Linked DNA regions of Rattus norvegicus. The protein of the gene in region 2 purifies or fractionates together with the protein of the main gene of each other region. This does not show direct contact. Links are inferred from orthologs where the notes say so. Each region holds a gene or a part of one and is shown on either strand. Other genes may lie near its edges.

What was found. The genes of interacting proteins can lie anywhere in the genome.
Region 1: the proteins of Raf1 (region 2) and Emd purify together in Homo sapiens (affinity purification with mass spectrometry; 3 studies listed by BioGRID and IntAct, with this or other methods). This does not show direct contact. The link is inferred for Rattus norvegicus from reciprocal best matches to the Homo sapiens genes RAF1 and EMD.

The regions. Positions count from the first base shown.
Region 1 is NC_086039.1:157,189,137-157,195,199, reverse strand, and holds Emd (emerin), read right to left. Parts: upstream 4,763-6,063; 5' UTR 4,656-4,762; coding exon 4,574-4,655; intron 4,482-4,573; exon of another isoform or gene 4,402-4,481; coding exon 4,294-4,401; intron 4,158-4,293; coding exon 4,080-4,157; intron 3,860-4,079; coding exon 3,723-3,859; intron 2,591-3,722; coding exon 2,544-2,590; intron 2,462-2,543; coding exon 2,131-2,461; 3' UTR 1,751-2,130; downstream 1-1,750. UniProt on the Homo sapiens protein: Stabilizes and promotes the formation of a nuclear actin cortical network. Stimulates actin polymerization in vitro by binding and stabilizing the pointed end of growing filaments. Inhibits beta-catenin activity by preventing its accumulation in the nucleus.
Region 2 is NC_086022.1:150,373,118-150,380,385, reverse strand, and holds part of Raf1 (RAF proto-oncogene serine/threonine-protein kinase), read left to right. Parts: intron 1-4,687; 5' UTR 4,688-4,713; coding exon 4,714-4,920; intron 4,921-7,268. UniProt on the Homo sapiens protein: Serine/threonine-protein kinase that acts as a regulatory link between the membrane-associated Ras GTPases and the MAPK/ERK cascade, and this critical regulatory link functions as a switch determining cell fate decisions including proliferation, differentiation, apoptosis, survival and oncogenic transformation.

The DNA.
Region 1 (6,063 bases), on a different chromosome or scaffold from region 2:
TAACCACGGAGTTATTATCTCTGAAGCCCAGAATTTAATTTTTTAAATTTTCATATTGAGACACTGTCCTGGATCAGGGTACCCTTTAATTCAAAGAGATCATTCTGGGGCTGGAGAGATGGCTCAGCGGTTAAGAGCACCCGACTGCTCTTCCAGAGGTCATGAGTTCAATTCCCAGCAACCACATGGTGGCTCACAACCATCTGTAAAGAGATCTGATGCCCTCTTCTGGTGTATCTGAAGACAGCTACAGTGTACTTATATATAATAAATAAATAAATCTTTAAAAAAAAACAAAAAACAAAGAGATCATTCTGTTTCTGCTAAGTGCAGAGATTAAAGGTGTGTAGCACCATGCCTGGATTAAAAAAAAAAACCTTTTAATATTATATACTATGTATCCAAGATAGAAAAACTGTTGGGATAATCATTCACTGTGTGAAGGTGTGTATGTCCTTCCTCACCTGCCCAATGCACCTCCTGACTTGTTTAGAGGATAGGCAGGACTTCTGGGCAGAAAGGGATACTGTGGGAAAGTCAGAGGTGGAAGATTTGAGACATATGGGACTGAGGAGAGGTAATGAGCTACCTGACAGAATGTAGAAGTATGTTAAATTAAGAGCTGGGGGCTGGAGAGATGGCTCAGCAGTTAAGAGCACTGACTGCTCTCCCAGACGTCCTGAGTTCAATTCTTAGCAACCACATGGTGACTCACAACCATCTATAATGGGATCCGATGCCTTCTTCTGGTGTGTCCGAAGAGAGCGACAGTGTACTCATATAAATAAAATAATAGTAAATCTAAAAAAATTAAGAGCTAGTTGAGAGTGAGCAAGCTAAAGCCAAGCTTTCATAATAAAAGGTATCTATGTCATTATTGGGAACTGGTACCAAAGAGACAGCTTGGTTACATCTGGCAACCCAGGTCAGTGCCAGCTCCCAATAATGACAAAGACTTTTCATTAATATGAAAGCTTGGCCTTAACTTAGGCTTACCCCCAACTAGCTCTTATAACTTACATCAACCCATTTATACTATTCTACATTCTGCTACATGGCTCACAACTGATCCTCAGTACCAGTCACCTATTCTTCCTCCATGTCTAGCTGACCTCAGAGTCCCTCTCTATGCCCAGAAGTCCCTCGATTTAGCTCTTTATTAAACCAATCAGTAGGTACCTTAGGCAGATAAGGAAGGACAGAAACATTTTAACGCAGTATACAAAAAGATTATCTCCAAAGAAAATCTAAAAACTGAGCAAGAATAAACAGGCAAAGAATTAGAATAGCCATGGGTGCACTGTAGCCTTTGAATCTTATTATCATGCCACCAATCCCAGGAGCTGAACAATGTACTGGCATGATGCCTCATATCTTTTCTATCCTGGTAACCTCAGATGTTGGTGTTAGCCTCTCCTGACTAAAGTATCTGCATATATGATCATATATGCAGTTTTGCCTACATTTCCCATAGGCTTATCTACACATTTAATTACATGGTAGTTATTTTTCTAAGTGGTTATAATAAGTATTTCAGGGAGTTGGCCCAGAAATAAAACCCACAACTAAAACATAGACTTATCTATGGGTAGCATTTGATTCCTTCCCCAAGACCAAGCACAACCAAAGGGAAAAGCCACACTGATTATTGAGACCTAAAACCAAGCACCTGTGTGCCATGGCAGCCCAGCTCCCATCCCAGTAGGAAGAAACAACAAGGTAAAAATAAACATGTTTATTATTGTGTCCACGAAAGCAAAGCCAGGATGGCCTTGTTAATACCCCCTGAAAAGGTGACAACAAACAGGCATGCATGACAACTACCACTGCCACCACCAAGTTTTCCTCTAATGAAGTGAGGTCCTCCCCACCAGATCCCCATACCCTAAGAGTCAGAGGCAATAAGGCTAGGAGGCTCCAGAGGAAGGTACATACGGGCCTACTGGGCTGTGGAAAGCCAGCATTTGCTGCTTCCTTGGCAAGATGAGGTGGAGACAAGCACTGCCGTAGGCTAGGCCCTGTACCCTCTAACTAGAATACACAAAAAAGCCCCTACCCCCCACCCCCAGCAAACACTGCTAAGGCAGTCAGCCAAAACTCCTGTTAAGAGCTGCTCTGAAACCAATACCCTTAGGGATCCATCCAGAAGGGGTTGCCTTCTTCAGCTTGTATGGAATAGTAAACAAAGAGCAGAAAGGCAGCAAAGGCCAGGAAGAGTAACAGCTGGCCCCAGAGTGGGACCTGTCGATCCTGGCCCAGAGCAGCAGTAGGGGCCTGCTTTTCTGGTCGAATGGCACGTCGGGTAAGCCATGAAGAGGGAGAAGATGAAGAGGAGGACACAGAAGAGGTGGAGGATGTAGGATAATATGATAAGCCCAGGGAGCTCCTGGAGACATTGGAAATGGGGCGGTAGTGTGCGATGCTCTGGTAGGCACTGTCTCGGCCATAGATGGGGCGTTCCCTGTAGCAAAAGAAGGGGACAGGTAGGCAGGAGAGTCTGAGTGTCAAACTTGTCCCTGTCCCTACATGTGTTCACTACTCACCTATCCTTGCCTTCCTCTTCTGAAGAAGAGAAAATGTCATCACGCACCTGCCGGATAATTAGGATTAGAAATGGGAAAGAATGGTTTCCCCAAATGTCTCTGGCTAGCCTACTCTAGTCACATTGTAGGGGGCAGAAAATTGCCCCCCCATCATTCTGGGTCCATGCCCTCTTTAACTGTGGGGCCTTGCCACCCAGTTACAAACCTTGTCAACTTTGTCCCACCATCCTTTTATTCCCCAGGATTCTCAGGAGGCTTAAACCTACATCCTAGAGTACAGGTGCTGTTATATATGCTCAGATCATAAAAGTTTGTGGGCTGCAGAGATGCCTCAGTGGTTAAAAGCACCTATTGTTCTTCCTAGGTACCTAAGGTCATTTTCCAGCACTCACATCAGGCAGTTTACAACTACTTGCCATTCTAGCTCTAAGGGGAATCTAAGGGGAAATCTGACAATTCTGGCATCTGTAGGCACCAGCACTCATGCATACTACCCACAGACACATACATGTAGTGAGAATTCTTGAAATTTGGCTTAAGAAACACAGAAATATTATAAGAATGTTTTTATTTTAACCCTAGATGTGGGATATGGGGCTGTTTTACAGCAGCTATGATTTGCTTCATGCTTTTGAGTTGCAGATAGTTTCTGCAATTTTGTGGTATTTGGAATTCTGGGAATTTTTCAGAGGGTATGTAAATACTAGAGCCCCAATAGGTGAGGTTGGTTACAGTTTGCTAGTAGCTGGGGTCAAAGAAGACACAAGGAAGAAAGAAATTAGATTCAGGGATCTTTAGCTCTCTTTCTCTATCTAATGATTGGGGGTGAAAGGGTGAGGGGAACCCACAAACTAACAAAAAATTGGCTACACATAGGTATAATTAAAGTAATTAAATTTTTAAAAATGCCAAAACCCCAAAAACATTTGTGTGTGCTGCTGGATGCTGGAGATGAAACCATAGGTAAATGCTCTTCTACTGAGCTATATATGCTCATCCCCAAATCTAATAGTTTTGGAGGTTCCAACGTAGAACTTTTGAGCCAACAACTGTATGCTGATCCTAACCATACTTGAAGGCCTAAGATCCACTCTCTGCACCTAGTATCTCCTTGAACTATCCAAACCTAGAATTCCCTAAGGCTACATACACCCCAGGTATGCCTACCAGACAACTCACCTGGTGATGGAAGGTATCATCAGCATCTACAAGTGAGGTCCCTGGCCGGCGGAAGCTCTTGGACATGCCCACAGACTCGGGCTCCCCGTATGTCCTGGTAGTCAAATAGCTCTCCTCATAGTAGTCATCATTATAGTCTTGAGGAAGAAAACAGTGGTAGAGGAAAAAGTGGTGCCCCTTACCTGGCCTCTTGCCACCTTCCGCCCCCCCCCCCCAGTCTGTGTGTGTGCTGTGCCAGTTTCTTCTCTCTGAAGCCACTGAGAACTGGTACAAGGGGGTGAGGTCTGGAGTTTCACTGTGCCCAAATCCCTGAAGCATGGGATAAAGACATCAGTGCCCATCCCACACCTGCCTTACCCTTGCTCTGGTAAAGTAAGGCGTCCTCCTTTTTGGGCAGATCATACATGTCTGAGTCCACGGAGGCTGAATCCAAGTCTGCATGTGGAGGAGAAGGTACAGGACCTTCAATCTCCAGACTTCCCCCTACTCCCTCAGTAGCTTCAGCCACACCCTCCCTCCCTGCGCCTTGTGCCCCAAGCTGCTCTTTGGGGCTGTGCAGTTGGAGCCTCACCTGAGAACCGATAGGAGAATGAAGACGATGACGAGCTGGGGGGCGAAAGCCTCCTTCTCTGGGTCTCGTACTCGAAGATTTTCTTTTCGTAGAGCTTGCGAGTGGAGCCTGCCCAGACACAGGGTGCGAAGCGGTCAGCGGGTGCGAGCCGAGCACCCCAAGAGCACAAGGGAACACGGGGAGGGGACCTGAGGGAAGGAGGAGGTAGGAAGAACGCTCAGGGAGGAGCGCGGGAAAGCGGGGGACCGAGAGGTTCTGAGCGCCACCGGCTGCAGCATACCCACAATAGGCCCATGCGGGATGTTGTACTGGCGTAGCACTGCGGCCAGCTCAGTATCGGACAAAACCGCATAGTCGTCCATGGCAGACACGGCCGGCACCTGGAAGCGGTGTTGAACGCCAGGGGCGGCCGGCACCTATACACAGGGCCCAAGAAACAGACAGCTCGGAGCCTAGCAGAGGAAGCGCCAGCGCCTCAAGAGCGGCTGTGGGCGCGTCAAGCCGCCGTCACGTTTGCGTCACAGCCGCTGCTACGCAGGTTGCGCGCTCTCCTCAGGGCAGGCCCAAATCCGCCGGAGCGGCCAGTACAGACCAGTCTAGCAGGCTGGACTGGCAAATACAAACGTCACACTTGTGTGAGATTGACTCGAACAGGAAGAGGGAGGGGCTTGCGGGAGAGATTTTGGGGCAGCGGAGACTTCCTTTGAGAGCTAGGCAGCTGAGGGGCGGGGCTAGCTAGGCTATCTGAGGGTGCTAAAGCTCAACGTACTAGAGGGGCGACAAGTGTTCTCAGCGGACCAAAACTGGCTTGTGATTTCCCAAGCTGTGAAATCTTACACACCTTTGTGGCTTCATCCTGATTTCCAGTGCCTAGGATTCTCAGCCACAGTCTGGTCCACAGCAATGTGAAGAGTCCAATCCTGAGAGCAAACCTTTCCACAGCGCCTGACGCTGTTGCGAGCTCTTTGTGTGCACAAGTGCTGTCATACAGGACTCTCATCACCTACATAACCACCCACAGACCCCTGGCACTCGCTACCCATCTCCGCTGGTCTTCACAGGCTCCATGGCCCTGGCCTGCACACCTGTACAGGCCCATTCCCACCGTCCTCTCTGCCGCCTAGTTCCATCCGGGAGGAAATGGGGCTAGCACTGGGACAAGAGGCCGCCAACACTGTAGGACCAAGCAGCTTTCCAAAGGTCCAGGGCATGCCAATGGGCACAATCAGAAGGTGCCTGCTATGTGATGCATGTAGATGGGTACACCTTGTACCTGCCTAACTCACTGTTCCATCCACCTTGGGCCCTGAGGAGTTTTGAGGGGAGAAGTCTTCTTTGGCAGAGTCTCTAAGCTTGGTGTGACCTTAGAGGCCTAGACAGTGTGCAAAGCCTAGAGCAGTATCTCTCAACCTTCTTAATGCTGCCGACCCTTTAATACAGTTCCTCATATTGTGATGACCCCACCACCACCATAAAATTATTGTGTTGTACTTCATAAGTGTAATTTTGCTATTATAAATTATAAATATCTAATATGAAGGATATCTAATATGTGAGACCCAAAGGAATAGTATCCCAGAGGTTCCAAACTGCTGGCCTAAAGGTAAACCATGGGAATTGACGGAGGCTCACTAAGGATCTGGATCAGAGAAAGGTTGCCTTGAAGAGTGAGCATGACCATTATATTCTACGAAAAGTCATGTGGCTCTAGGTGTAAGCTGCCCTTTACTGGAGACATCTAGAAGAGGGGGTACATGCAGAAAAGGTGTG
Region 2 (7,268 bases):
CAGCAGGACCATAGATGCATGGAAACTTAAAATGTGGGTTATCTGCTGTTTTCTCTTTTTTCCTTAGAAAACGAGGGAAAAAAAAAAAAAACCCCTTTGGTGTATATAAATATTGCTAGTGGTAGTTTGATGTTTCTCGACTTAGGTCATTAAGGGCTCCTATGTTTGGCACATGTATGTCATCCAGGAATTCCCTCCCCTAGCCTGCTGGGAATTTCCTTTGCTTCATTCTATATTCAGTGTCCTATTGCTTCCTGTGTCTTAGGTTATTTTCTTTCTTGACTTATGTGAATAATGAGGCCCTTCAGAAAGAGACCATGGACAGTAAAGCTCATGAATCATGAATGTTAGAAAAAGCTCTCTCTTTTACCTTTCTTTATAGTTTTCTTTCATACTGTATCAGACATTTCTTCCGATGTTGAGATTTGAAGCCATTCCTGATCCTTTGGCTAAAACTTCTGGAGTCTTGTTTTCTTGTTATTATAAAAATAAAAAAATAAATGATGATTCTATGTATCTTAGTCTGATATATAATTCAGGTCCCCATCTATGTGGTTTGGTCTCTGTCCTTCATATTAGAAGTTCTCTGCTAATCTACTTAGTTAACAGGACAGGATTAAGAACTGAGTATTGTCTTAGAGCACAAGTGAGCTTTGCTGAGCATCATGGTGTGATGGGGAGCTCTCTGAGTCTGGTTGCTGAGCTGGGAAGGAAGCTGCCAGGTTTTGTAGTCAGACGTTGAGTCATATGTTAGGCTCAAGTGTTGGGCCTGTTGAAATAGCATCTGATCTGTCTTTACAGTTCATGCTGGTCTACAATCAGAGCCCTATGTGCCTCCTCCCATGGCCTGAGTCTTTTGTTTTGAGTCAGGGTCTTGCTATGTAGATCAGGCTGGACTTGAACTCTCCATATTCCTGCTTTGTGTCTGAAGTGCTAGGCATATACAGACCTGTACCACCTACCACCTGACCTGGTGTGGTCTGTCTCTCTCTGTCTCTGTCTCTCTTTCTTTGCTGAGCCGTCTCTCCAGTTCTGTTTTTCAAAGGCATATAAAACATAAGTAGTCTAAAACTTTTCATTAATATTATAGAGTAGACCTAATAATGAGACTGTTAGGCATGTTACAAAACTGGGGATGTGGCTTGGTGGTAGAGTGCTTTCCAATCTAGAGTGTGCTGTGTGGGTGGAAGGAAAGAAAGAAAAGTTACACCCGCTAGTGTTGGTTACTTTTATCAGTCTGTGTCTTTATCCTTTGTACATTTGAGAAGTATTTGTTATTTCCAAGAGAGGTGAAGCAGTAGCACATCCCATGCTTTCTTTATCTACTCCCAACCCCAGAAGGCGATGACAAAAAGTGGATATCTATTGACTGGTCAGTTAAACAAACGGAAATGCCTTGACATAAAAATCATCCAAAATCTAATTTTAAAATGTAAAAAAAAAAAAAGACAGTATAACTTTTTATTCACCCAGTTTTTAGCGAGAATTGTATACAAGATAACTCTGTTCCTACATCTCGTTTGTCTGTTCTTTGTGTTTTTCCTTTTTTTCCCTAGGCTTTTGTCTTTCTGTTCCACGCTCCCCCAAACCCCCTTGAGCCTTTGTCCAACTTTAGCCTGCGCTAATCACTTTTCTGGGATGACTGCCCACATAGCAGTGTACCACAGTCTTTTCCCACTGCACATGTACAGAGTAGATGGCGTCATTTTATACTGTAAATCTGAATTACTTCTGCTGAGTTCTGTAGTGCCCTTGGACAACCTAAATGTCATCATCTTTTAGGGTGGGTATATGTCTAATGCTAGGCCTCTGTCTCTGCTCTTTGGAAAAAGGAAAAGTCATTATGTTCTTCTGAGTGTGAGAAGCTGCAGTCAAAGCCTTCTGTGGTTCTTGCTTTGGTCAGAGTCACAAAGAATTAAACTCCAGCAATGGCCAACAAAGGGAAGAGCTGTATATAGTTTTAATGATCTAGTAATCCTTTCCTTAGATGTCAGCAGACTACTTATGTACTTGTCGGCACCGGGTCCTCTACGTCAGCAGTACTTACTCTTAACCTCTGAACCATCTCTTCTGCCCAATATTTCTGTGTGGTTTTTTTTTTAATGGAACCTGCTTGTAATTATAATTTTATGTTGCATCTTCTAGCAGTTTTCTTAATACATTTTAATATTTAATGTTATAGACTTAGAACCACTGCTGTTTAGTTTTTCCTTTTTCTTTCCTCCTGCTCCTCCCACTCCTCCTCCTCTTTTCTTTTTCCGTCTTCTTTTTTTTTTGGAGACAGGGTCTCTGTACAGGGCCCTGGCTGTCCTATGTAGATTAGCTAGCTGGCCTACTTAACAGAGGTCTGCCTGCCTCTGCCTCCTTGTGCTGGGATTAAAGGGATTACCATGCTTGATTTTGGTTAGTTTTTTAATTTCAGTTGATAGCTCACTTTGGTTGATTTAAAATGATCATAGAAATTATAGTTATCATGACTTCTTCCACTTTAAAATCAAGTCACAATGATAAGTAAGGTCATATAATAACTAACAGTTACTGTGTAAAGAATTAAAATTTAGTGTATTACAGCAGTGGAATGCCTGAAAACTCACAGAATTACATAAAGCTTTAAGTTAGGTGCCTTTGTGTTGCAGGTACTGGTCCAAGTACTAAGAATATACCAGTGAGCTCTGCCCACAAAGCAGACATTTATGTATGTGTGTATGTATGTATGTATGTGTTTATTTTTAAATTTATTTATTTTTTGTTTTTGACATTTATAAACAGTCTTTGTAGTAATAAATGTCGCACTGAGAATTAATCAGGTTTGTTTGTTGAGGGGAGGAGATAGACTGTTTTGGCTGGAGTGTCAGGTAAGGACTCTTTAAAAGGCTGTCTTGGTGGAGACAGGTAGTGGAAAGGCCATCTTGACTGTTTGTGGGATTTTCATTCTTTTGGGTGAAGGGAATAAGAAATTCTCAGGTATGAATACTGGTATGTTCTGGTGGGTTTGTTTGCCTTCTTTTAAAAACAAGGTTCCACTTTGTAAGCTCTGACTATCTAGGAACTGGGTGTTTTGACCAGAATGACCTCACACAGAGATCCACCTGTGTCTGCCTTCCAAGTGTTGGGATTAAACCGTTACTGTTACCAGTATGACTGGCATGTTCTGAAAGCAGTTTTAGAGGCCTGGTTAAGGGGTTCAGAGTTTATTCTGAGTTTTAAGCAAGGGGGTCACATGATGCACAGTCTGCATTTGTTCAGGTCCCTAATGAATAGTATTTGCATGGGCCCTGCATGTGTCTCTGATGTAAGTCCCAGAGAACTCAGGATTGCTAATCTAGTGTAAATGTTGTGCAGATAGTCACACAGTGACGAAAAAGAAGTCTGCATATGTTCAGTGTAGACACACACACACACACACAATCTTTTGTTTTCAATTGTTGGAGTCGATGGCTGTGGACCCACAGATGTGGCACAGGAGTCTGGTTGCAGTTAGTCCCCAGTTTCTTTTCGTGGGCTGAAAATTTAGCACATAGTGGGAAGTCAGGGAGAAAGTTCTGGTTGAAAATGAGGTATAAGTTACATTTTCTTTAATTCTAGCCATCTCATCCCCGACTAAGTGATTTGTGTGTCAGGACTGTATGTGAGACAGTGAGAGCTGTGGAGTTAGAGCTGCCCAAGTGTGCATCTTAGCCTGGACACTCAGAGTATGTTGTAAGAATTCTCTCTGCTCTAGATGGGACATCACTTCTATTAGTATCTAACTGTACATATCAAGGTGGATAATAGGAATGGGTCATATGTATATATGTAAATTTCTATATGTGCTATGTGTGCATGCATGCATATATGTATGTGTACATGCATGCTCTGTATTCTGCCTCACAATAGAGGCTCCTGGTGAATTCTAGCTCTTGCTAGATAGACAAAAGTGTCCGACAGAAGGCTTGAAGGAGGATTCTCTGCTAACCTTATAGTTTTCTAGAGGAGGAGAACCATTTACTTTGCCTGCTTGCTGACCTGCAAGTGTCTGGGCATTCCTAGTCCTTATGCCTGAGGCATGTTACGTGGTTAAAACATCAGATTGTGATGGGTTAAATGACCGGTTTTCTTCTTTGGTTCTGCACCCAAACCGAATGCTGAATGTTACAGTGGAAAATTCATGGACTTTGTAAATAGATATGGAATCTGGGAGTTTTGGGACAGCTAGGGTGATTTCTCTGGTTTAAAGAGAAAGTAAAATGAAGATTTAAAAGCTGAAGTTCTTATACAAATTAAATGAGAAAGCTTATCCATAAAAATATACACATATGGTATCTACAGTGCATCCTGGGAATTAAGTTTTCTGCTTTTCTCTTGGAGGCAGGACTCCCTACTCCCCAGTGCATAATTCTCAGAGTTTAAAATATATTGCTCATGGACAGAGGTGATGACCCAATTTATTCATACATTGTAATCAAAGAAAATAAATATATATGAAAAATACGGACTAGAAGCCAGGCGATCTTGGCTTATGCTCTAGGTTAGCTTTGAATTTTGGTCTCTTTTTCTTTCATTTTATGGAAATACACCACTATATTTCTTTCCTGACTAACTTGCTCTCAGATTACAAAAAGCTGTATATCACTGTTTTTACAACTTTCTATATTGTGTTCTTGGGTTAAGTACTTTTTCTCTAGAATTATAATTATTTGTCTTTCAGGTATAAGTATTGTTGAAATTGCATCAATGGAGCACATACAGGGAGCTTGGAAGACGATCAGCAATGGTTTCGGACTCAAAGATGCTGTGTTTGATGGCTCCAGTTGCATCTCCCCTACAATTGTTCAGCAGTTTGGCTATCAGCGTCGGGCCTCTGATGATGGCAAACTCACGGATTCTTCTAAGACAAGCAATACTATCCGGGTTTTCTTGCCGAATAAGCAAAGGACTGTGGTATGTGACCCTAGAAAATGTCGTTCTCCTGCTCTTGGAGACTGTGCTCTGCTGTCCAGTTTATATATGGGAGCATCTTCTTGTCACTTGGGGTCTCTTAATTGTTTTTTTTCTCCCCCAAGTGAGATTTATTTTTATTTTTAAGAAGACCTATTTGTTTTATCTCTCTCTATATAAGTGTTCTGTCTTCATGCAGAAGAGAGGATCAAATCCCATTACAGATGGTTGTGAGCCACCATGTGGTTGCTGGAACTCAAACTCAGGAGCTCTAGAAGAGCAGTCAGTGCTCTTAACTACTGAGCATCTCTCCAGCCCTTCAGATTTATTTTATGAAAAAAATCACTGTTCTGCTCGCACTCCCTATTGTGTTCTAACATTGCCCACAAAGGCTTTTTTTCTGCATCCTTATTTTTTGGGGAGGAGGAGAGGATATTTCTGATACTTTTTTCTTTTGAAACATTTTAAACATTTATATTTATTAGTTTTATGTGTGTTCATGTGTTTGTGGTGCTTGCATGACATAGAAGTGAGCAAACAACTTGTGTGAGGAGATTCTTCTCGTTTATTACCACATGGGTTTTGGGGATTGAACTCAGACTGTCAAGCTTGGCAGCAGCTGCCTCGGTCCAGAGCCATCTTGCCAGTTCTTAGCCATTTCTTTGAGAAGATTTTTTTCTTTTAGTTTCTAAGCTAATTAAAATAATTAAAGAAGGAAAAAAAAGAATGCAAAGTATTGACTTAATTTTTGAGATTGCAATTAAATATGATGAAAGTAAAATTTTCTGGGTTATTTCACTTTAGGAAAAAGGTCTAGATTTTTAATTTTGAAAAAAAAATGTAGTCTTTGTTTTATGTGAATGGGTGTTTGCTGCCACGTATGTCTGTGTGCCCATAGCGGCCAGAAGAGGACATTGGATTACCTGGAACTTGGGTTACTGACAGGAGCTACCACGTGGTGCTGGGAACTGAGTGTGGCTGCTCTGGAAGAAAAGCCAGTGCTTTTAACTATTAGGCCATCTCTCCATCTCCTTGGAAAAGGTTATTTTGTTATTTCATAGGCCCAAGACAGACTTTTAGGTTGCTTAAGAAGAAACTCCTGCCTTGTCTCTTCTCAGGGCACAAAATATTTCTGCATTTTCTCCATGGAATCGGTGACAGGTTCATGTTGGAACCAGATATTGTCAACAGGATTTCCTGACGTGAAACCCATTATTTTCTAAAGACCCATTGTTCAAAAAACCCTTTACTGTTCTGAACTTTAAAAGCAAAAAACCTGTTTGGCTAAAACAGAAGAGTGAAGTTCTATTGGTTTTTGTTTGTCAGGTCTTGTTTAAACCTAAACTGAGAACTTGTCCATCCTTGCCCTCCCACTCCATGGTCTGTGGAGCACAGTGTCTGACATCTGTTTGTTCCTTTTGGCTCTGAGACTGCAAGGCCAGCCAGAGCTTTTTTTGGTTTTCTTCTAACAGTTCCCTCTGGTCTTTCTAGTTAATCCCTTCATCATTATTTATTTTGTGTGTGTGATTTGTACCTGAGTGTTTGTCAGTGCCATGGGTATGCAGTGCCCATAGAAGCCAGAAGAGGACATTGGATTCTCTAGATCTGAAGTTAGAGATGGTTGTGAGCTGCTGTGTTGGTGCTCAGCATGAATGGTCTTAAGTTTGAGGCTTATCTGGGCTACCGAGTGTTTTCAGGGTTCATAGGCAGCTTAATTTGAGATTCAAAATAAGTTAATTCTTTCTTTTTTGTTTTTTGTTTTTTTAAAGAAGGTTTCTGAGCAGCTACCTTAAGATAGGGACACAGTGTTTGTGTCAGTTAGAAGTGCTGGCTGGTGTTTCTTTCAGACTGAGTACAAGACTCTATCTCTCTATTTACTTTTCCACTCTGGAGTTCAGATTCACAGAGCAGGTGTTTCAGAAATAAATCTGTAGTGCCGACATTAGATCATACACCTTCTAGCTGTGCTCCCTTCCCTGGATCCAGAACTTTGAGTTGTAGGTTGTCTAGCGCAATTCTTCCAAGTCAGGACCATGTTGGCTAGGTCACATGGAACCTCCCGCTTCCCCTAAGCATGTAAGAACCTGGGAACCTGGCCTTTGTTCTTCTTGACTGAAGATGTCCTTTGTCTCCCCCTTGTTGTACTTCTGTAGTACAATATTCCAATCTAATACCTTCCTTTAGGGCTTACGGTGGCTAGTTATGGCTGTGAGCTCATAACTATTCTTTTAAATGTGTCAGCTCTCCTAATGCTACATGTCCTGTTTCTACCAACCTGCACTGATTTCAGATCGGCTTATTTAAAGCTTATTTCTCCATGGGTAAAAATGAAAATCTTCACTTGTTAGTAT